Linked DNA regions of Macaca fascicularis. The main gene of each other region encodes a partner of the protein of the gene in region 2 in a complex. Links are inferred from orthologs where the notes say so. Each region holds a gene or a part of one and is shown on either strand. Other genes may lie near its edges. The genes, in order: DRC12, DRC1, DRC9 and DRC3.

Evidence for each region.
Region 1: DRC1 (region 2) and DRC12 share a complex: the UniProt entries of both Homo sapiens proteins name them as parts of the nexin-dynein regulatory complex. The link is inferred for Macaca fascicularis from reciprocal best matches to the Homo sapiens genes DRC1 and DRC12.
Region 3: DRC1 (region 2) and DRC9 share a complex: the UniProt entries of both Homo sapiens proteins name them as parts of the nexin-dynein regulatory complex. The link is inferred for Macaca fascicularis from reciprocal best matches to the Homo sapiens genes DRC1 and DRC9.
Region 4: DRC1 (region 2) and DRC3 share a complex: the UniProt entries of both Homo sapiens proteins name them as parts of the nexin-dynein regulatory complex. The link is inferred for Macaca fascicularis from reciprocal best matches to the Homo sapiens genes DRC1 and DRC3.

Annotation. Positions count from the first base shown.
Region 1 is NC_088388.1:118,066,066-118,071,586, reverse strand, and holds the start of DRC12 (dynein regulatory complex protein 12), read left to right. Parts: upstream 1-2,349; 5' UTR 2,350-2,392; intron 2,393-2,690; 5' UTR 2,691-2,702; coding exon 2,703-2,763; intron 2,764-3,189; coding exon 3,190-3,264; intron 3,265-4,333; coding exon 4,334-4,453; intron 4,454-5,304; coding exon 5,305-5,397; intron 5,398-5,521. UniProt on the Homo sapiens protein: Component of the nexin-dynein regulatory complex (N-DRC), a key regulator of ciliary/flagellar motility which maintains the alignment and integrity of the distal axoneme and regulates microtubule sliding in motile axonemes.
Region 2 is NC_088387.1:95,804,236-95,809,172, forward strand, and holds part of DRC1 (dynein regulatory complex protein 1), read right to left. Parts: intron 2,015-4,937; coding exon 1,875-2,014; intron 1-1,874. UniProt on the Homo sapiens protein: Component of the nexin-dynein regulatory complex (N-DRC) a key regulator of ciliary/flagellar motility which maintains the alignment and integrity of the distal axoneme and regulates microtubule sliding in motile axonemes.
Region 3 is NC_088376.1:895,012-899,948, reverse strand, and holds part of DRC9 (dynein regulatory complex protein 9), read right to left. Parts: intron 3,792-4,937; 5' UTR 3,733-3,791; coding exon 3,725-3,732; intron 3,578-3,724; exon of another isoform or gene 3,084-3,577; intron 2,468-3,083; coding exon 2,194-2,467; intron 1-2,193. UniProt on the Homo sapiens protein: Component of the nexin-dynein regulatory complex (N-DRC), a key regulator of ciliary/flagellar motility which maintains the alignment and integrity of the distal axoneme and regulates microtubule sliding in motile axonemes.
Region 4 is NC_088390.1:18,128,279-18,133,127, reverse strand, and holds the end of DRC3 (dynein regulatory complex subunit 3), read right to left. Parts: intron 3,371-4,849; exon of another isoform or gene 2,382-3,370; coding exon 2,250-2,381; exon of another isoform or gene 2,245-2,249; coding exon of another isoform or gene 2,185-2,244; intron 1,726-2,184; coding exon of another isoform or gene 1,615-1,725; exon of another isoform or gene 1,577-1,614; coding exon 1,463-1,576; 3' UTR 1,274-1,462; downstream 1-1,273. UniProt on the Homo sapiens protein: Component of the nexin-dynein regulatory complex (N-DRC) a key regulator of ciliary/flagellar motility which maintains the alignment and integrity of the distal axoneme and regulates microtubule sliding in motile axonemes.

The DNA.
Region 1 (5,521 bases), on a different chromosome or scaffold from region 2:
TCTCTACTAAAAATACAAAAATTAGCCAGGCGTGGTGGTGGGTGCCTGTAATCCCAGCTACTCGGGAGGCTGAGGCAGAGAATTGCTTGAACCCAGGAGGTGGAGGTTGCAGTGAGCCGAGATCACATCACTGTACTCCAGCCTGGTGACAGAACAAGACTCTGTCTGAAAAAAAAAGATAGCCTGGTGCAGTGGCTCACGCCTGTAATCCAAGAAACTTGGGAGGCCAAGGCAGGCAGATCACTTGAGGCCAGGAGTTCAAGACCATGCTGGCCAATATGGTAAACCCCGTCTCTACAAAAAATATAAAAATTAGCCAGGTGTGGTGGCATGCGCCTATAGTCCCGGCTACTCAGGAGGTTGAGGTGGGAAGATCACCAGAGCCTGGAGAGGCTGAGGCTGCAGTGAGCCGTGATCATGCCACTGCACTCCAGCCTGGGTGACAGAGAGAGACACTGAGAAAAAAAAAATGCCAGGCGCGGTGGCTCACGCCTGTAATCCCAGAATTTTGGGAGGCCGAGGCGGGTGGATCACGAGGTCAGGAGATCGAGTCCATCCTGGCTAACACAGTGAAACCCCATCTCTACTAAAAATACAAAAAAATTAGCGGGGCGTGGTGGTGGATGCCTGCAGTCGCAGCATGAACCCGGGAGGTGGAGCTTGCAGTGAGCCGAGATCGTGCCACTGCACTCCAGCCTGGGCAACAGAGCGAGACGCTGTCTCAAAACAAAAACAAAAACAAAACAAACAAACAAAAAACCTAAAGAAACGGTCTGCAGGTCCCCTAATCCAAAAGGAGAAAAGCCCTGAAGTGTCTGCTGTTTTCACTCTAACCAGTATGGTGCCCAGAGATCCAAGTGGCAGATAGATGGCAAGCCTCAGGATAGCACAGAGCTGCAGGGAGAGTGAAGGCTGCCTGACAAGGGAGGGCCACCTGTCATACTCTCTCCCCCACATTAATTATTCCAGCCACTCCTGGCTCCAGCAGGACACTAAGAAGTATCCCCAAAGGGAGTCACCCCCAGTATTGCCCAGTAAATAATTTAAAAGCAAAAATGTGGGAAACTCAGGAGAAGGTCAAACAAGTCCACTAGAGGGAGCCCCAACCAACTCTATGCTGCAGGGAGCCTCACAAAGCAATGTCTCAACACCTGTCTGAAAATCAACCACACAAGGGAATGGGGAAATGTAGCAATAGATTAAGTAACTAGGAGAGAAGATAGCCATGTAAACACCTAGCTAAAACACAGGCTTTTCAAGAGCTACAAAATCAAACATTTAAAGATCAGGAAACTGATGCTGAGCAAAGTCAAATGGCTTGCCTCAGTTTACATATCCACAGTTGGGACTCAAACTCAAATGTCTTGTCTCTAACCTGAGCACTTTCCTGCACACTTGCATCCCTCTAGGTCAGTACCCTAGAGTCCATGGGTCTGCTGTTCCTTTGTGTCTCATTTCTCTGAAGTGGGAAACGCCCTCGACTACCTATTCCTGTACTTATTACCCTCATTCCACAGTGTACTGAAGAGGATCTTCAGTGGTTTGGGGTTTTTGTTTGTTTGTTTGTTTGTTTGTTTGAGACAGGGTCTCCCTCTGTCATCCAGGCTGGAGTGCAGTGGTGCAATCATAGCTCACTGCTGCCTCAACCTCCCAGGCTCAAGTGGTTCTCCTGCTTCAGCCTCCCGAGTAGCTGAGACTAACAGGTGTGCACCACCCTGCCAGGCTAATTTTTTAATTTTTTGTAGAAATGAGGTCTCACTGTGTTGTCCAGGCTGGTCTTGAACTCCTGGCCTCAAGTAATCCTCCTGCCTCAGCTTCTGAAAATGTTGGGATTATAGGCATGAGCCACCGCCCCCAGCTTAGATCTTCAGTTTTAAACCTACTAATGTCATTTTGCTGATGGGACCTCGGGATGTCAATTGTCCAACATGGCTACTGTCAGTCCTTTTCCTCTGTATCAGCACAACATATTATCTCAGATGTGTACATCTGAATTTGGAAGTCTCCAAATTGCAGGCCATGTCTACGTGGCAATGAATCATAACCAATCGGCCTCCAAAGCCCTTTCTTTTCAAACTATACTTAGGGTTTTGGGATAAGGAAAGAACTGACCCTTTGAGACCTTGATATTTTAAGCTTTGTGAGCTGATTTAGCCCATTCCACCTTCCTACCAACTCCATGTTTCCCAGTTGCCTGGACAACATACAGCCTCCCGAAACCCAACCTTCCAGCCCTCAGTCCTGCCCTCAAGAGAAATTTGCCACCAAGGATTGGCTCCCAGGACCCAGGCCCCGCCTCAGGCTCCTCGCTAGTTGGGCCTTCTCTCTGCCACTCCCCACGGGTGGGTCACTCCACAGGGAGCCCCAACACTGGCAGGAGAGGATCCTACAGGTAGGAAGAGGGGGTTGAGGATGATGGGAAGAGGGAGGGGAGCAGGTACAGGGATTTATCTAAAAGAGAGTTGTGAGGAGTGACTTCCGTACAGTCAGCCTGGTTGAGAGAAAAAACTTCACCCTCCCCGTTGACCCCAACCCTGCCTGAGGTTCCAAAGAGACTGTGAACTGACTTTTCTGAAGAGTATGAGATGCAAATTTGGAGTAGAACCAGGAGACTCCCCTGAGACTCCTGATTCAGTCAGGAAAGCATCCCTGTGTCCAGACCTAAACATAAGGTCCCCTCCTTCTCCCAGGACAGCAAGGAGATGCCACTTAAAAACAAAGAAAAAGGGAAGAAATCTGGGGCGCAGAAGAAAAAGAACTGGGGTGAGTCATGGTGGGTGGAGGTGCCCCCTGCTTCTCCATGTTCTGGCATGAAGACCACGCAGAGCTCCTCCAGAGAGAATTCAGCCTTCTACATGACAGGATGGAACTCTCTTGACCTTCCTCTTTCGTGTCCTTGAAGTCAGATGCAGGGAGCTGAGGAAGTGGGGAAATGGTCACTCACGCTGTCCTTTAAGCACCATCTAGCTTTGTGCCTTCCTAATATATTTGTCATGTGTATTTTGCATATCTGTTATGTGCTGGTTGGTAAGGACACAGTGCTGACTTCAGTAGACTCTGCCACCATGGATCCCTCATTTAGTGGTCCTCAGGTCTCCTGTGGCAAAAGTGCAGGGTGTGGGGCGAGGACGCAAGGAGAGTGAGGAATGCTGAGATCACGAAGAGCTGAGGCTCTGCCACTTGCCACAGCAGGTGCAGATGTGGAGGCTGAGTCCAGGCACAGGCTGGTGGTGCTGGAGAAGGAGCTGCTCCGAGACCACTTGGGTAAGGAGGGTAGAAGTTGGCATGGGGGTGGGCAACAGGGCAAGTGAAATGGGGCATTTCTGTATCCTGGGGGATTGGAGAGTTGGAGATACAGTGGGGGGCTAAGTTGAACCCTAACCATCCCCTAGTGGAAAAAGACAATGAGAGAGGGGTGGGCAGTGAGAGTTGATAAAGGAAGCTTTTTTTTTTTTTAGACAGAATCTTGCTCTATTGCCCAGGCTGGACTGCAGTGGTGTGATCATAGCTCACTGTAATCTCAAACTCCTGGACCCCAACAATCTTCCCACCTCAGCTTCACGAGTAGCTGGTGCACACCACCCTACCTAGCTACTTTATTTATTTATTTATTTATTTTTCTTTTTTAAAATTTATTTTATTTTATTATTTCATTTTATTTTATTTTACTATCTTTTTTTTTAAGACAGAGTCCTGTGCTCTGTTGCCCAGGCTGGAGTGCAGTGGCGCGATCTTGGCTCACTGCAACCTCTGCCTCCCAGGCTCAAGTGATTCCCCTGCCTCGGCCTCCCAAGTAGCTGGGATTACAGGCACACAGCCACCACACCCGGCTAATTTTTGTATTCTTATTAGAGACAGGTTTTCACCATGTTGGCCAAGCTGGTCTCGAACTCTTGACCTCATGATCCTCCCACCTTGGCCTCCCAAAGTGCTGGGATTACAGGCATGAGCCACTGCGCCTGGCCCTATTTATTTTTCTTATAGAGACAAGGTCTCACTCTGTTGCCCAGGCAGGTCTCAAACTCCTGGCCTCAAGCAATTCTCCCACCTAAGCCCCCCAAAATATTGGGATTACAGGCATGAGCCACCATGCCGGGCTATCCGGAAAGCTATTTTGTATAGGCAGAACATGGAGAGAGTCTTTACTTCTTAATAATGAGGAGCCTGTGAGACTCTAGGGATAAAAAACAAAAACAACAAAACCCAGAGAGAGAATAAGAGGCTGGACGCCCCGCCACCAGATTTCTAGAGACGGGCAAAATTCATCAAGTTCATGGGGGCTGATTTAGCGGGCCCCAGCCAGTCCTGACAGTGGCTCTGGGACTGCTCACAGCTGTACGGAGGGATGAAGCCCGTCGAGCCAAGGCTTCCGAAGACCAGCTGAAGCAGAGGCTGCAAAGGGTGGAGGCTGAGCTGGAAGGGGCCCGAAGTGAAGGGAAGGCCATATATGCAGGTGTGTGGTCTGTTGAGCAGGTGGGCAGGAGACAGGGGCCTGGAGGAAGACAACCAGCAGGGTCAGATGATGCAAGGAAGGGAAACAAGGAGGGCTTCCAACTGCCAGGCCTGGTCTTGGTCTTCCCCGAACAGTACAAATCAGGCAGGATCCTGCAGGAATCAAAGGCAGGTAGGTTCCTGGGATCCCAGGCAGGGGCCTGCCAGGATGCCTGGTGCCATGTGCTTGATGCTGTGTAGGATACACATGCAGTCATAGCCATCACCTCAACCATCCTATGGGAGGGGAGAAGGACTAGCATCCCCATCCAAAGCTGGACGGTGGGGGAGGTGGGTTGGGCTTCCTTTCCCTTCCTCAGGTTTTCATGGTCTCTAGCTTCTCAGAATCACAAAAAGAACCAAGAAGACCATGGGCCGGGAGTGGTGGCTCACACCTGTAATCCCAGCACTTTGGGAGGCCGAGGCGGGCGGATCACGAGGTCAGGAGATCGAGACCATCCTGGCTAACATGGTGAAACTCCGTCTCTACTAAAAATGCAAAAAATTAGCCGGGTGTGGTGGCAGGTGCCTGTAGTCCCAGCTACTCGGGAGACTGAGGCAGGAGAAGGGGGTGAACCCGGGAGGCGGAGCTTGCAGTGAGCCAAGATCGCACCACTGCACTCCAGCCTGGGCGACAGAGCGAGACCCCGTCTCAAAAAAAAAAAAAAGAAAAAGAAAAAGAAGAACCAAGAAGGCCTTTGTGCTCCTGTTCCACTAGACCAAGTAGAGTCTTCCCCACCCACAACTTCATTTCCTTTCTCCATCGCTCCATCTCCGACCTGGGTCCCTGGCGGCCTACTGCCCCCACCCCAGAGATGAGTCGCCAGTGCCATGCCCTGCAGGAGGATATGCAATCCCGCAGCAAGCAGCTGGAGGAAGAAGTCAAGGGCCTTCGGGGGCAGCTAGGTAGGTTTCCCCATCCCCCAAGCCCCTTGTCTCCAAGAGTTGCAGCAAGGGCCAGCATGAAGGGGCAGACTTCAAAGTCTCTGCTCCAGAAAGCTGCCACCTGGGCTCTGGGATCACTTTCCCC
Region 2 (4,937 bases):
ATGAGGCCTGAGGAGAAGTCACTACGTTTGGCTAGAAGGGCATCATTGGTATCCTACTTTGGGAAGTTTTTGTACAATCCTGGGGTCATAGATTGCTATGGCTTGAATGTAACTCCTCCAAAATTCAGTGTTGTCAATGTGATAATATTAAGAGGTGGGGCCTTTAAGAGGTAATGAGGCCATGAGGGCTCCCCCGTCATGAATGGGATTATGGGATTAAGGCCCTTATAAAACAGGCCTCCCAAAGCCTTAGGCCAGCTTGCTCTCCCATTCTTCTGCTGAGTGAGGACACAGCGTCCCTCCCCTCTGAAAGATACAGCCCTCACTAGAAACTGAACCTGCCAGCCTTGATCTTGGCCTTCCCAGGCTCCAGAACTGTGAGAAATAAACTCGTCTTTGTAAATTATCCAGTCTCAGGTAGTCTGTTATAGCAGCACAAACAGATATGTCAAATTATGAAATGTTGGGTGGTGATGAGGAGGAAAGGAAAATGGCAATGAAAGCAAGAAATGAAAAGATGGTGCTTAGAAATGGCAGGGTCCGTTGAAGGGTTTTTCAGGCTGAGGGAAAGATGTCTGAGTTTGAAATAAGAGGGAAGATTCCACTCATCTCTCAGCCACACGCATCAAACCCAAGCTCTGCCTCAAGCGCCTCCTCCCGCCTCCCACCTTACCCGTTCTCTACACCCACTGTGGGACTTTCTGAATCCTACCTCCTTGCCTTCAGACCAGCCATTCCCAGCTGCCAGCACTGTCCACCTGGAGTCTCCTGTTAACTGCCTTTTGCCAGTTCATGTCCCCACCCCCTCCAGTATTTCACTTCTTTGGGAAGTTTTCCCAGGTGCCTCCTCACTGTATTGATGTGTGTCTTTCTTGGATGTTCCCCTATCTAGTATAGGGCTTATATAGTGGGAATTTTTTCATAAATATTGTCCCCTGACTATTCTTGTTTCTCAGATAATCAGGCTTAAGATGCCATCCCATTTATTCAGTATCATTTTCTGTGATAAGTAACTACCAAAATGTCAACTGATGTTCGTCTATACATTCAACATGTGTCCAAAATGTATGTATTACCAACCCACAAGTGGAAGAATTCATAAATAATAATAGGCTATTTGGGGTTTGGAGGGAAATCCTCAATCTTGTCTCCTTCTACAAGCAAGAAATCTTATTCCACTCTGGTCCTCAGAGCCTAACACAGTGGTCTGAAACTTAGAATGCAATTCCTAAAGGAAGAAAGGCAGGAAGGATGGGACTAAGGAGACAAGGAAGAAGGGAAGATGTGTGAGAAATTTCAAGCAATAGGTACCTTTCAATGAGCCATGGTATCTCCACAAAAGCAAACTGGCACATGTCATGAGTACTTAGGTTGGTATTATTTGCAAGGGAAAAAGGCTGGAAGCAATCTACATGTCCATCATTAGACACTGGTCAAATAAATCATAGTGTATCTATACAGTGGGTCGTAGCAGCTTAACAAACGGTAAAAGCTCTCCATGAACTGGGATGGAAAGGTCTTCAAGATACACGGCAGTGTGTACAGACTGCCATCATTTGCGTAAAAGCAGATGGGGGATGAGAATATTTGTGTGGGCTTGTATATGCCTAATGAAATTCTGGAAGAGGCAAACTGGTTATAGAGGTGGGAAAGAGGAACAAGATGAATGGGGATGGAAAATCTTTTGCTATGTTCTCTTTTCTTAGGGAGAGAAGGGGAACCACTTGAATGTATTAACTTCTCCAAAAAACTATTTTAATAAGTGTTGGTTATATTTTTAATGGTTTCTACCCCTTCAATAGAAAAAAGTACATATCCATCCCTATTCTCAGCACAGAGAGCCCAGAAGAAAGACGCTCTGCATGCTAGCTTACCGATTGATCTTCCTCTTCTGCTGGGATTTAATCACTGTGCTTTCTTCATCTCTCTTCTTCAGCACCTGCAAGTTGTACTCTAATTTCTCTTGGTTTAGTTGATAAATTGCTTTCCTCTGCTGAAGCTGCTGCTCAAGAATCTAAAATTTAAAAAAAACTATATATATATCTATGTATATGTGTATATATACACACACACTAACTCTACACCTGCATCCTTAGTATTATATACACTAGCGTATTTAAAATGTCTTTTGGGGAACATGCTTTGTATAGGTAAATATTTACATAGATATACTTACATAGTCCTGCTTATGTATGTTTATTTACCTAACTATGCATCTCCATATTCAGATGTATTTATCTTTGTACCTACATTCATAAAGAATAAAGAGGTAAAAGTATTGGTAGAAGTTTATACTGGAAGTATACAAAAATAAACTTTCCTACATTTATAAGCTTATCTGCCCTGTGAATTATACCTAAAATTGTACACAAATAAAGGTATGCTCTGAAATACAAATATATATATATTTTCACACACTAGTTGGCCCTAGCTTGTAGGCTTCTGATAAATTGTTCAAGTCATGTCAGAGGAACCTTAGGGACAAGTGCCTCAGCCTGCATTCTTAGAAAATCTATCATGAGAGTCAAGTTAAAGGTCAACCAGATAAAATACAAGTCAATGAACTGTAAACTAAAATCTGTATACCTAACGCCTAAGAAAGATCACAGAGCTTTCAAGTCCAACTAACTCTGGTAACTTTCTCCAGACCCTTCAGATATGAGTAGCCCCGCTAAAAACACCATAGAAATAAATACGGCCACAAAAACTTGAAATTTCCCCCACTTTGACCTTCCAGGGTGGAAGTGTTAGTGTTTAGCAACCCAGGTTCATTTAAAAGGACAGACACAGTCATCCTTACTTTTTGGATTTCCATTAGCTGTATTCATTCATTCAGCAAATACTTATTGTGTGCCTAATCTGTGTGAGATACTTTTCGAGGTGCCGTTGCGAAAACACCAGTGAGAAAGGCATAGTCCTGACCCGTCTAGAACAGAGGCAGATAAACGCTAGGGGTAAGAGGCAAGATAGAGGGAAGCCCAGACCATTATGGGACCAATGACAAGAGCACTGTCCTTGGTCTTGAGGGACCAGGGAAATCATCCCTGGAAGATGGTGTGTCTAGCTGAGACCTAGAGAATGTGCTGGAGTTACACAGGTGACACCGGAAGGGAGAGCACTCTAGAGAGAGGAAATAGCATATATGAGGCTTTGGGAAAACCACAAGAAGTTTAGGATATGAGGCACGAGGCAAGGAATGGTCAGAAATGAGGCTGACAGAGCAGCAGAGCCTTCCCAAGCTAGGAATTTAAAGCATTATCCTGAAGTCAAGGGAGGACCACTAAAAATGTTAAGCAGGGAAGGAAAATGGTTGGTCCAGTCACTGTAGAAAGATCACCCTGACAGGTTGTGAAAAAAAGATCAGAGAGAGGCAAGGCTGGAGGCTGGCATGCTCCTGCCTCTCCCGAGTGAAATGCAGGAATGGGGAAGGCAATCAAGTGGAATCAGAAACTCGATAAAACTGCCACGTGCGTGCTGTCTCCAGCCTCTGTCCCGTCTCCCTCTGTTAGGCTACAGACTCTGGCCCAGGAGTCAACAGAGGAAGTGATTCCAAGCAGCTATCACAGCCCACTCTGGGTCATACTCCAGGAGGGCTCCTGGCTAGGAGGTGACGCTCCATTGGGTCAGGAAGCACATCATTTCCATGGTTGCTGTGGAATCCGGTGATTCCCACACACATTGTCATGGGGGAATTAGTCAAGAATATTCTACATCACCACCGCAGGGATTTTTAAATCTCCATTATGAGATGAGTATTTGAATGTCTCCTTCAGAACAGAAGCCTGTAATATCTTTTAACAGATGGTGAATGAAGAACCATATGAGTCCCTGAGATCATAACTAATCCTACCTCTCAATTTCTCTACTTACTTATTTTTTATTTACCCTTTCTAGTTATACATTTTTCTTTGTAAAAACTCTTCCTGAGTGCAAAAGCAATATTTGCTCATTGTAGAAAATTTGGAAAGTACAGCAAATGAAAAAGAAGACATAGGAGAAAGAAGTTGCAAGGCTACCCAAAATTCCACCCCCAAAGGCAACTTCTGTTAATGCTGGCATGTTTCCCCCCAGTGTCCTTTACATAGTTGGAATCAAACTATGTCTACAATTTTATATCCTAATTTCCTCCCTTAATATCACAACAACAATTTTTCAGGTTAGCAAAGTTTTATTAACATCATTTTAATAGTACAGAATCCTTTTTTTTTTTTTTTTTTTTGAGGTAGAGTCTCGCTCACCCAGGCTGGAGTACAGTGGCATGATCTCGGCTCACTGCAACCTCCACTTTCCGCGTTCAAATGATTCTCCTGCCTCAGCCTCCCAAGTAGCTGGAATTACAGGCATGTGCCACCACCACGCCCGGCTAATTTTTGTATTTTTAGTAGAGATGGGGTTTCACCATGTTGGCCAGGCTTGTCTCAAACTCCCGACCTCAGGTGATCCGCCTGCCTCGACTTCCCAAAGCGCTGGGATTACAGGCTAGAATACTTTCATATACTATGCTGTTTTATCATATATGAAATATTTAATATGTTTACCATGTCATAATAATTTACCATTTCTCTACAGTTGTGTGTGTGTGTGTATATATAGTTATATATACTTTTTAATAATTTTCTTTACTATAAAATAATGCTGGGACAAATTATATATACAATTCTTGGGGTAATTTGTTTCCTTATGGTAGATTCGTAGAAGTGAAATGACTAAGTCAAAAGTTCTCAGTAAGTTGCTTTCCAAAGAGCAATCTATGGTTTATGCTCCCACTGGCCATGGGTGCAAGTGCTCACCTCACCCCATTCTGTCAGCACTGAGCATCGTGCCAGGCAGACCCTGCGGCTCCAAGTGCAGGCCTGGCCCTTGGGTAGGGAACTTGGGGCAGGGCAGGGAGCTGCCAGAAGCTTCAACTACAACTACAAAGGACCCTTTCTGAGCCT
Region 3 (4,937 bases), on a different chromosome or scaffold from region 2:
TTTTTTTTTTTTTTTTTTTTTTTTGAGACTGAGTCTGGCTCTGTCGCCCAGGCTGGAGTGTAGTGGCCGGATCTCAGCTCACTGCAAGCTCCGCCTCCCGGGTTTACGCCATTCTCCTGCCTCAGCCTCCCGAGTAGCTGGGACTACAGGCGCCCGCCACCTCGCCCGGCTAGTTTTTTGTATTTTTTAGGAGAGACGGGGTTTCACCGTGTTAGCCGGGATGGTCTCGATCTCCTGACCTTGTGATCCGCCCGTCTCAGCCTCCCAAAGTGCTGGGATTACAGGCTTGAGCCACCGTGCCCGGCTTGCTCTATAAAATCTTATCTAAACTTTTAAAACTTTAATGAAAGCTTTAAGAACCCAGACTGTATGTGTAACAATAATAATTTTAAAAATTTGAAATTTTAATGGAAAAGTAAAGGGAAATGTAATTTTCTTCTCTCGATAAATATAGACTTCTTTACTGTTAGACATGAAAATCAAAAACAAAACAAAACAAAACAAAAAAAAAGAAAAGCATTTTACCCTCTCATTTATGTAGCAATTTTCATTGGTCATAGAATCAGACATAAGAATATCTTCTGGGCCGGGTGCGGTGGCTCACGCCTGTAATCTCAGCACTTTGGGAGGCCGAGGCGGGCAGATCACTTGAGGTTGGGAGTTCAAGACCAGCCTGACTAACATGGAGAAACCCCATCTCTACTAAAAATACAAAATTAGTTGGGTGTGGTGGTGCAGGCCTGTAATCCCAGCTACTCGGGAGGCTGAGGCAGGAGAATCGCTTGAACCCAGGAGGCGGAGGTTGCCGTGAGCCCAGACACTCCAGCCTGGGCAAGAAGAGCGAAACTCCGTCTCAAAAAAATAAAAATAAAAAAAATAAAAATAAAAAAGAGTATCTTCTGCACAAGTTATATAATGCTATTATGTAAAACTTGATAAATATGTATTTCTATTTGTAAATTGTTTCCATTTTATACCTACAACCTAAGTTATTGAAATGTACAAGAGCTAAACATGTATAAAGACTTTGCTCACTACTAAATTAATTTTCTAATAACTCAGTGCTGCTTCACAGAGCAGTCCAAAACACGATTGAAAATGTAAGGGCTTGGCTAACCAGGTGAAACCCCGTCTCTGCTAAAAATACAAAACACTAGCCGGGCGCGGTGGCGGCGCCTGTGGTCCCAGCACTTTGGGAGGCCGAGACGGGCGGATCACGAGGTCAGGAGATCGAGACCATCCTGGCTAACACGGTGAAACCCCGTCTCTACTAAAAAATACAAAAAACTAGCCGGGCGAGGTGGCGGCGCCTGTGGTCCCAGCTACTCGGGAGGCTGAGGCCGGAGAATGGCGTGAACCCGGGAGGCGGAGCTTGCAGTGAGCTGAGATCCGGCCACTGCACTCCAGCCTGGGCCATAGAGCGAGACTCCGTCTCAAAAAAAAAAAAAAAAAAAAAAAAAGAAAATGTAATGGCTGACACAGTAATGCGGCTGGATATTCAGGAAGGCAAGTTACAACGTATTCACCAATGACAAGTCATTTTAGATTAAAGCGAAGTGAAGGCCGGAGCTGAACTTCCTCCCCCTAGTGTTCAGTTAGGGTTCAGCAGCTGAGAAACACAAGCTGCGCGGACGGCTTAGTCATTCCCTCTCTTCGGTATTGTACTTATACTGATTTCCGTACAGGCCTTTTTGGATAATGCCAACATAGTGGAAAAGGATATTCTGTCCGGTAATGTACCTTCAGTCATGACCATTTCACTCCATCAATTGAGAGTACATATCTCAGATAGGTAGTGTAGCCCTTTATCTGAAATAAAGGTGCTATTTCCCAAGTGATATTTAATGGCACCAGCCTGGACAACACAGTGAGATCCCATCTCTACAGAACTTTTATAAAAAATTAGCCAGGTGTGGTAGTGCAGACCTGTAGTCCCAGCTACCCAGGAGACTGAGGTGGGAGGATCACTTGAGCCTGGGAGGTAAAGGTCGCAGTCAGCCGTGACAGCACCCCTACACTCCAGGCTAGGCCACAGAGCGAGACCCTGTCAGAAAAAAAAAAAAAAAAAAAAGAAGAAGGAAAGAGAGAGAGAAAGATAAATCAATACATTTAATGAGATAGGTACTATAAATGAGGGAGAAATAAAAAATAAAGCAAAAGTAACTCATAGTCTCATCGTGAGCGGGTAAATACCATGCAGACGCTCTGTCTTCCTTCGTACTGAATGGGCATGATGTAGTTTAGAATAGAGAGCTGGTCTGTGGTGTCCTCCAGAACTGCCGAGATCCTCAGCACATCTGGAAGCGAGAGTGGCTCTCGGGTTTCTAGGATTTCTGGGATGGTTTCTACGTCTGTTTCTTTAGGTAGTCCGTCTTCTTCTACGGTACTAGGTGGTTTGCCTGTCACTGACACTGTCATCTCAGAATGCCAAACTTTTGGAGGAAGGTTTGAGTCTTCCAGGCTGTCTCTAAGGAAAGAATAAAGAAAAAATAAGTCAGCGACCAATATTTAAACATTACTTTAACTCAAAAGTACAGGCAGCAATGTGCTGGGCTCCTGTGATATTCTTGTTGTCATATAATATAACCTAGATTAAAAAAAAAAAAAGTAGGAGTTTGAGTGTGATTCTGCTAAATATCTTCCATTTTGACCAACCAAAGGCAAACAACTTACTTTTTTTTTTTTTCCTTTTTTTGAGACGGAGTTTCGCTCTTGTTGCCCAGGCTGGAGTGCAATGGCGTGATCTCAGCTCACCGCAAGCTCTGCCTCCCAGGTTCAAGCGATTCTTCTGCCTCAGCCTCCTGAGTAGCTGGGACTACAGGCGCCCGCCACCACACCCGGCTAACTTTGTGTTTTTAGTAGAGACGGGCTTTCTCCATGTTGGTCAGGTTGGTCTTGAAGTCCCAACCTCAGGTGATCCACCCAGCTCAGCCTCCCAAAGTGCTGGGATTACAGGTGTGAGCCACCACACCTGACCTACTGTTTAATAAAGCTATGTAGCTCATGCAATTTGGCTATGCTGATCAATTTGAATTTGAGCCAAAATTAACTTTTTTTCCCTAGGAGTATCTTTAGATGCTAACCAAAAGTGTCTCCTGATGAGTGAAAAACAGAATGTGGTATCCAGCCTCCAAGGTGGCCCAAATGATTCTCACTTTCTAGTATTAATGCTTCTGTGTAGTCTACGCCACACTGAGTAGGACCAGCCTATGTAACCGGAAGGTTATTGTGGCAATGACGGAGTGGGACTTCCACGGCTAAGTGATAAAAGACATCGCAGCTTCTGCCTTCCTCTCTCAAACCTCTCAGTGTGAGGGATGACAGCTGCTTCGACATGAGGACATTTCAGCAGCACTGTGGACACACCCATGAGGGAAAGGAACAAAGGCCTCTTGCCGGCAGCCTGCACCAACTTGCCAGCTCTGTCAATGAACCACCTTGGCAGTGGATACTCCAGCCCCCATCAGGTCTTCAGATCATTGCCATCATTGCCACCCGTGGCCAACTTCACGTGCAGGAGAGACCCCAAGCCAGCACCATCCAGCTAACCTGCTCCTAACCTTGGGACCTGCAGAAACTGTGGGAAAGAATAAATGTTTGTATTTTAAGTCACTAAGTTCTGGGGTGATCTGTCACACAGCAGTAGATAAGGTATACACAGACCTTTCACAGAAGGCATAATTTAAATACATGTATACAAAAAACATAGGAATTGTAAACATACTCTTCCATTCTCCCGTAGTTCCGTTACCCTCCGTGGAATATTTATAATCTCACAGAAGTGCGGCTACCTAAAATGGGAAGGAAACACTGAGATTAGTTTATGCAAGTCTTCAATGATGTTTCAGTTATTTCAATATCATTTTATTCAGAGAAAATTAAATGATTACGGGAGCTGTGACTGTCACCTCTTTGTGCAGAGTGGAGCAGTCTCAGAGGCGAAAGAAACATCGACATCACGGACCGCAGGTCTATGAAGAAGTTGACCGAATTCTTACTGCTCTACCAAACTCAAGACACATGCACTCTGTGGGCCTCTTCTTAAGGTAAATTAATGTTCAACCTGGTTTTAGAGTGTTCCATGGTATCACAATTTTAATTGGTAATCTCTATATACTTGATTTTTTCTATGATTCTAATTACTCTAACATTTAATTAGATCACTCAATCCATCTTATCCGCCAGATAACGGAATTTGCTCCACGTGTGCTTAGAGGAATAATTGAGATGACATTTAGAAAAACTGTATTAATTGGGGCCGGGTGCGGTGGCTCACGCCTGGAATCCCAGCACTTTGGGAGGCCGAGGCGGGTGGATCACAAGGTCAGGAGATCGAGACCATCCTGGCCAACATGGTGAAACCCCGTCTCTACTAAAAAATGCAAAAAATTAGCCAGGCATGGTGGCGGGCGCCTGTAGTCCCAGCTACTCGGGAGGCTGAAGCAGGAGAATGGCGTGAACCCGGGAGGTGGAGCTTGCAGTGAGCCGAGATTGCACCACTGCACTCCAGCCTGGGGGACAGAGCGAGACTCCGTCTCAAAAAAAAAAAAAAAAGGAAGAAAGAAAAACTATATTAATCCTGGAAATCGGAATCAGTTTGACACGGCTGTCAAGATGCTACCCCTCCAGAGTGCACCAGAATCCTTTCTGCTTAAATGAGCTTTGCAGTGAGAACACCTGTGGAGAATTTTGTGTTGTGCTGAATGGACAGTGAGTGTGAGTTTCCAATGTAAATTCGTCCACAATAAAGTAACTCTGAGAGAGGTGGTGCAAATATGACTCTTGCAACAAAAATCTGATACGCAAAAATTCAAACATATAAAACAGAATCTTCCTATAAATTTGAAAAAATACTTCAAACTAGCCAGATTTCCTGATGCAGGGGCAGTTTTAGGAGGAAGCAGCATCGTATTAAGCAGAATATCTTTCTTTTTTTT
Region 4 (4,849 bases), on a different chromosome or scaffold from region 2:
GGTGGTGCTGTCTGGTGTCACGCCAGTAAGAGGGCAGTGGGGATCCCGAGTGTGGTTCTTAGGCAGACAGGCTGTCTCAGTCCTGTGTCCTTGCCAGCCTGAGTAAGGTAATGGCATCAACCCTGTTCACACGGCACTGATCACATGCTGGGTGCCTCTCCATGCTTCCCACGCACTGTCTCCCTGAACTGTTCCTCGAAGGCACTGTGAGGTACTATCACAGATGACACCAGGGCTGCGGGGGTGTGGTGGAGCTGGGATGCCCCGCCTGTGCTCTGCTCTTCTGGAGGGTCCTCAGGTCCCTGTGACTAACCTCAGCCTTGGTGGGCAGGCCCAGGCCCCCACACTGTGGTGGGAGCTGCAGCCTCTCCTGCATTGCTGCCCCTCAGCACCCAGAGCAGAGAAGGTCTCAGCCCACACTGGCCTCCTTTTGCCTGTGGCCAGCAGCCTGCCTAGGCATGGCAGGAGAAACGGCAGGGGCACATGTCTGACTTTATGCCACAGCCAAGAGTCTAGCTGATGGCAGTGCCCTTGGGAGTCACTCTGTCAGCTGGCCTGGGACCGGCTGTTCATCTCAAACTCTTTCTCCTGTTCCTACATGAACATGAATTCTGATTTTTTTGTTTTTTGTTTTTGTTTTTGTTTTTGTTTTTCTTTTGAGACGGAGTCTTGCTCTGTCACCCAGGCTGGAGTGCAGTGGCCGGATCTCAGCTCACTGCAAGCTCCGCCTCCCGGGTTCACGGCATTCTCCTGCCTCAGCCTCCCGAGTAGCTGGGACTACAGGTGCCCGCCACCTCACCCGGCTAGTTTTTTGTATTTTTAGTAGTGACGGGGTTTCACCGGGTTAGCCAGGATGGTCTCGATCTCCTGACCTTGTGATCTGCCCGTCTCGGCCTCCCAAAGTGCTGGGATTACAGGCTTGAGCCACCGCGCCCGGCCTTTTTTTTTTTCTTTTTTTTGAGACAAAGTCTCGCTCTGCTGCCCAGGCTGGAGTGCAGTGGTGCAATCTTGGCTCACTGAGACCTCCACCTCCCAGGTTCAAGCGATTGTCCTGTCTCAGCCTCCTGAGTAGCTGGGATTACAGGCACACGCTACCATGTCCGGCTAATTTTTGTATTTTTAGTAGAGACGAGGTTTCATCATGTTGGTCAGGCTGGTCTTGAACTCCTGACCTCGTGATCTGCATGCCTCGGCCTCCCAAAGTGCTGGGATTACAGGCGTGAGCCACAGTGCCCAGCTGATTTTTTTTTTTTTTTTTAATGAATAGGGGAAATGTGACATGAGTCCTTTATTTTCTCTACTTTTGGAAGTTTTTCCAGGGGTGGGGCAAGAATGGTGTGGGGGATCGTAGTTGAGAGATGCCCAGCAACTCTCCTGAGGTGCTCGGTGAGGCATGTGCACTTCCTTCTCTTGGTTAGGGCTGGTGCTATGTTTTGAAGAAGCTCCTGTGGCTGACACTCATCTAGTCTAGGATGTCGCTATATTCCAGGTTGTCCAGTTCGCTCTGCATGTGGTCGATGTACTGATTGATCTCCTTTACGCGCTTACGGTTTCTCATGATCTCATCCTTGTGAATCTGAGGAGTGAAACCAAAGCCCGATACCTTACATCAGATCATTGGTTAATATCTTTCACTGAGTCCAGTTTGAGGGAAGGGGAAAATAGTTCCTTGAGATCTGCAAACCTCCGCATTTGCTTCGGCGCCTCCCCAGGTTCTGCTGATCTCTGTGTATTTGAAGTAGGAGTTAGGAAAATGATGAAGCCCATGGGTTTTGTGTTTTTTTTGAGATGGAGTCTTACTTTGTCACCCAGGCTGGAGTGCAGTGGCACGACCTTGGCTCACTGCAAGCTCCACCTCCTAGGTTCACGCCATTCTCCTGCTTCAGCCTCCCGAGTAGCTGGGACCATAGGCGCCCGCCACCATGCCCAGCTAATTTTTTGTATTTTTAGTAGAGATGGGGTTTCACCGTGTTAGCCAGGATGTTCTTGATCTCCTGACCTCGTGATCTGCCTGCCTCGGCCTCCCAAAGTGCTGGGATTACAGGCGTGAGCCACCGCGCCTGGCCGAAGCCCATGGGTTTTAAAGTCTCTGGGCAACCTTGTCTTCAGTGTGGAGTTCTATAATCCTTAATTTTATTTCTTCTTTCATTTCATTCCTAAATGAGAATTCTATCCGCTACCTAGGGAGGATTTCCATGTCAGCTAGAAAAATTTGTCCAACCTGCTAGGATGGCTTGGCATTGACTCACCTTGTCTACTAAACGTGTACACCAGGAGTTGATTCTGGTCACCAGCTCATCTTCTCGATTGTCAATCTTCAGAAGGTGGATGTCGTGCGATGCCCCGACAGCATTAACAATCGTATCTTTATCGACAAAAAGCTGGTGAGTGAAAAGAATCCAATGAGAACATGTGTGTCATTACACCCTGAACACAAAGAGAGCTGAATAGAAAAGGAGCATTTGGAAGTCCCCTGGCTGTGCAGGCCACACTCAGAGCAGAGCTCACCTTTGTATCAGCGCACTCTGCCGATTCATCTGTGAATTCATCTGTGACAGCTGCCTCCCCAACCGCGCAGGGCAGGTGTTGAGGGGAAAGGGCCAACCAGGGTGTTACTCTGCAGTCCCCGCTGGAAGCATGTTTCCTCCAGGGTGAAGGCAGATGGCTGCCCAGGGGGCACCTCACCCAGGACATCTGTTCTCACAATGCTTCTCTCTCAGTTACTCTCAAGTCTGACTTGCCCAAAACCTCTGCCTGCTGGGTGGAAGCATGAGACTGGCTGAGGGTCTTGGGGCTGCTCTGAAGACAGCAGGCCCTATAAACTGATGGGTGTTCACCCCACAGTTGTCTCTCCACTGCCACTCATGTCAACAAAACCAAACCATGGATTCCATCTGGGGTCTCCTTCTGCCTTCTCTTGTTCCTGACTTTGCTGTCTTGTAAAAAGTTGTTAGAAACAACCACCCTCTAATAGGCCTCACTGGTTCCAGGTGTTGACACTGTGGCTGTCGTTGCCTGGGATGGTGGAAATGCCCAGAGCAGGGCAAGGCCACCGAAGCACTCAGTAAGCAGTTGCTTCCACCTTGAAGCAGAGGCGTTTGGTAAGGAAGAGCACGTGAATGCTCTGTATTGCAGGGAGGACTTGCAAGTGGAATGTACACTTTTTGTTCTTCCCTGTAGTGGCAGTTAACGGTCTCTAAAACATGTTCTGTGGAATCTTATGTTAATATTTCTACCAAAAAAAGTATTCTTTGGTCAAACACATTTGGGAAAGCCAGCACCCCCAGGCCCCTCCTGAAGATTTGCAGAGCACAAAGTATTCCAGAGGCTCTACAAAGTCCTGTGGAAAATAAACCCTTTAAGCTTTGTCTCTCTTGGTTTTTCAACTTTTTTGGCCACAGACTTCAGAGTAATGCCTGTTAATGTCTTGTGGGATGCTGATTTTCCACAGAATCCCAGTGGGAAAAGCCAGGTTAGCTGATATGTGGAATGGGGTGTCTGGGGGACCAATTAGCACAGTCACAAGGGAGAAATGTCAAGAAATCATTAAGTTCTTTCCATGTGTGTACAAGGTCCCAGGCCAGGCTCTGGGAATGGTTCAAAGGTGTGTAAAGCCTATTTTCGGTGAGCGTTGGCAGTGTGCTTAGAAATGAGTGTTCTGGTTATTTTAGAGATAACTACAACCACAGTGTCAACCCATCACGAAAAGGTTTTCATCCTTCATCCTAAAAAGTGGGTCATAGTGGAGCTTTTAGCCAGGCAGAGAAATCATCCCCCTCAGAGTTTGAATATGTAGAAAACAGCTTCAAAAGCTGTGAGAAGCAACAGAAACTGAAGTCTGCTTAGAAAGATACATGATTAGAATTGGTTATGAAAAACAGTGTGACATTTGTAAAATGCAAATAAAAGGAAACTGGGTTTAAGGGAATTATTTTGAGATGTAAGTTACAAGTTGTTTCTGGACTTTGGGTGGCCTAGAGTGGTGGCTACTTCAATTTTCCCTCTTAGAATAGTTTTTATGGGTAGAATATTCCAGATCCCTCTCCAGTTTCTGCAGGTTGAAAGCCTAGGGTGGAGGCAGGGACTATGCAAACAGGTATTCCTGAATCTTTTTTGAGGTGTTGCCCTGCTCTGTGGTCCTTGTGGCTGTAAAGACACACTTCTTTCAAAGCAACTTCTTTGTTTAAACAGTGTTGGCATTGGCCAGGCGCAGTGGCTCATGCCTGTAATCCCAGCACTTTGGGAGGCCGAGGTGGGCAGATCACCTGAAGTCAGGAGTTCAAGACTAGCCTGGCCAATATGGTGAAACCCCATCTCTACTGAAAATACAAAAATTAGCTGGGTGTGATGGTGGGCACCTGTAATCCCAGCTACTCGGGAGGCTAAGGCAGGAGGATAACTTGAACCCGGGAGGCCAAGGTTGCAGTGAGCCAAGATCGCACCCTTGCACTCCAGCCTGGGCAGCAAAAGTGAAACTCCACCTCAGAAAAAAAAAATTGGCATTTAAAAAAATTGACTAATAATTGTTCATATTGATGGGGTACATACTGATGTTTCTACACTTATCATATATAGTGATCAGATCAGGGTATTAGCATATCTGTCTCAAACATTTATCATTTCTTTGTGTTGAGAACATTCAATATCCTACTTCTAGCTATTTGAAACTATAATATATTATTGTCAACTGTAGTCATCCTATAGTGGTATAGAACACTAGAACTTAGTCCTCCTATCTAGCTGTAATTTGGTATATCCTTTAACAAATCTCTCCCTATTCCTTCATCCCCCTACCCTTCCCAGTCTCTAGAAGCCTCTGTTCTTCTTTTTACTTCTATGAGATCAACTT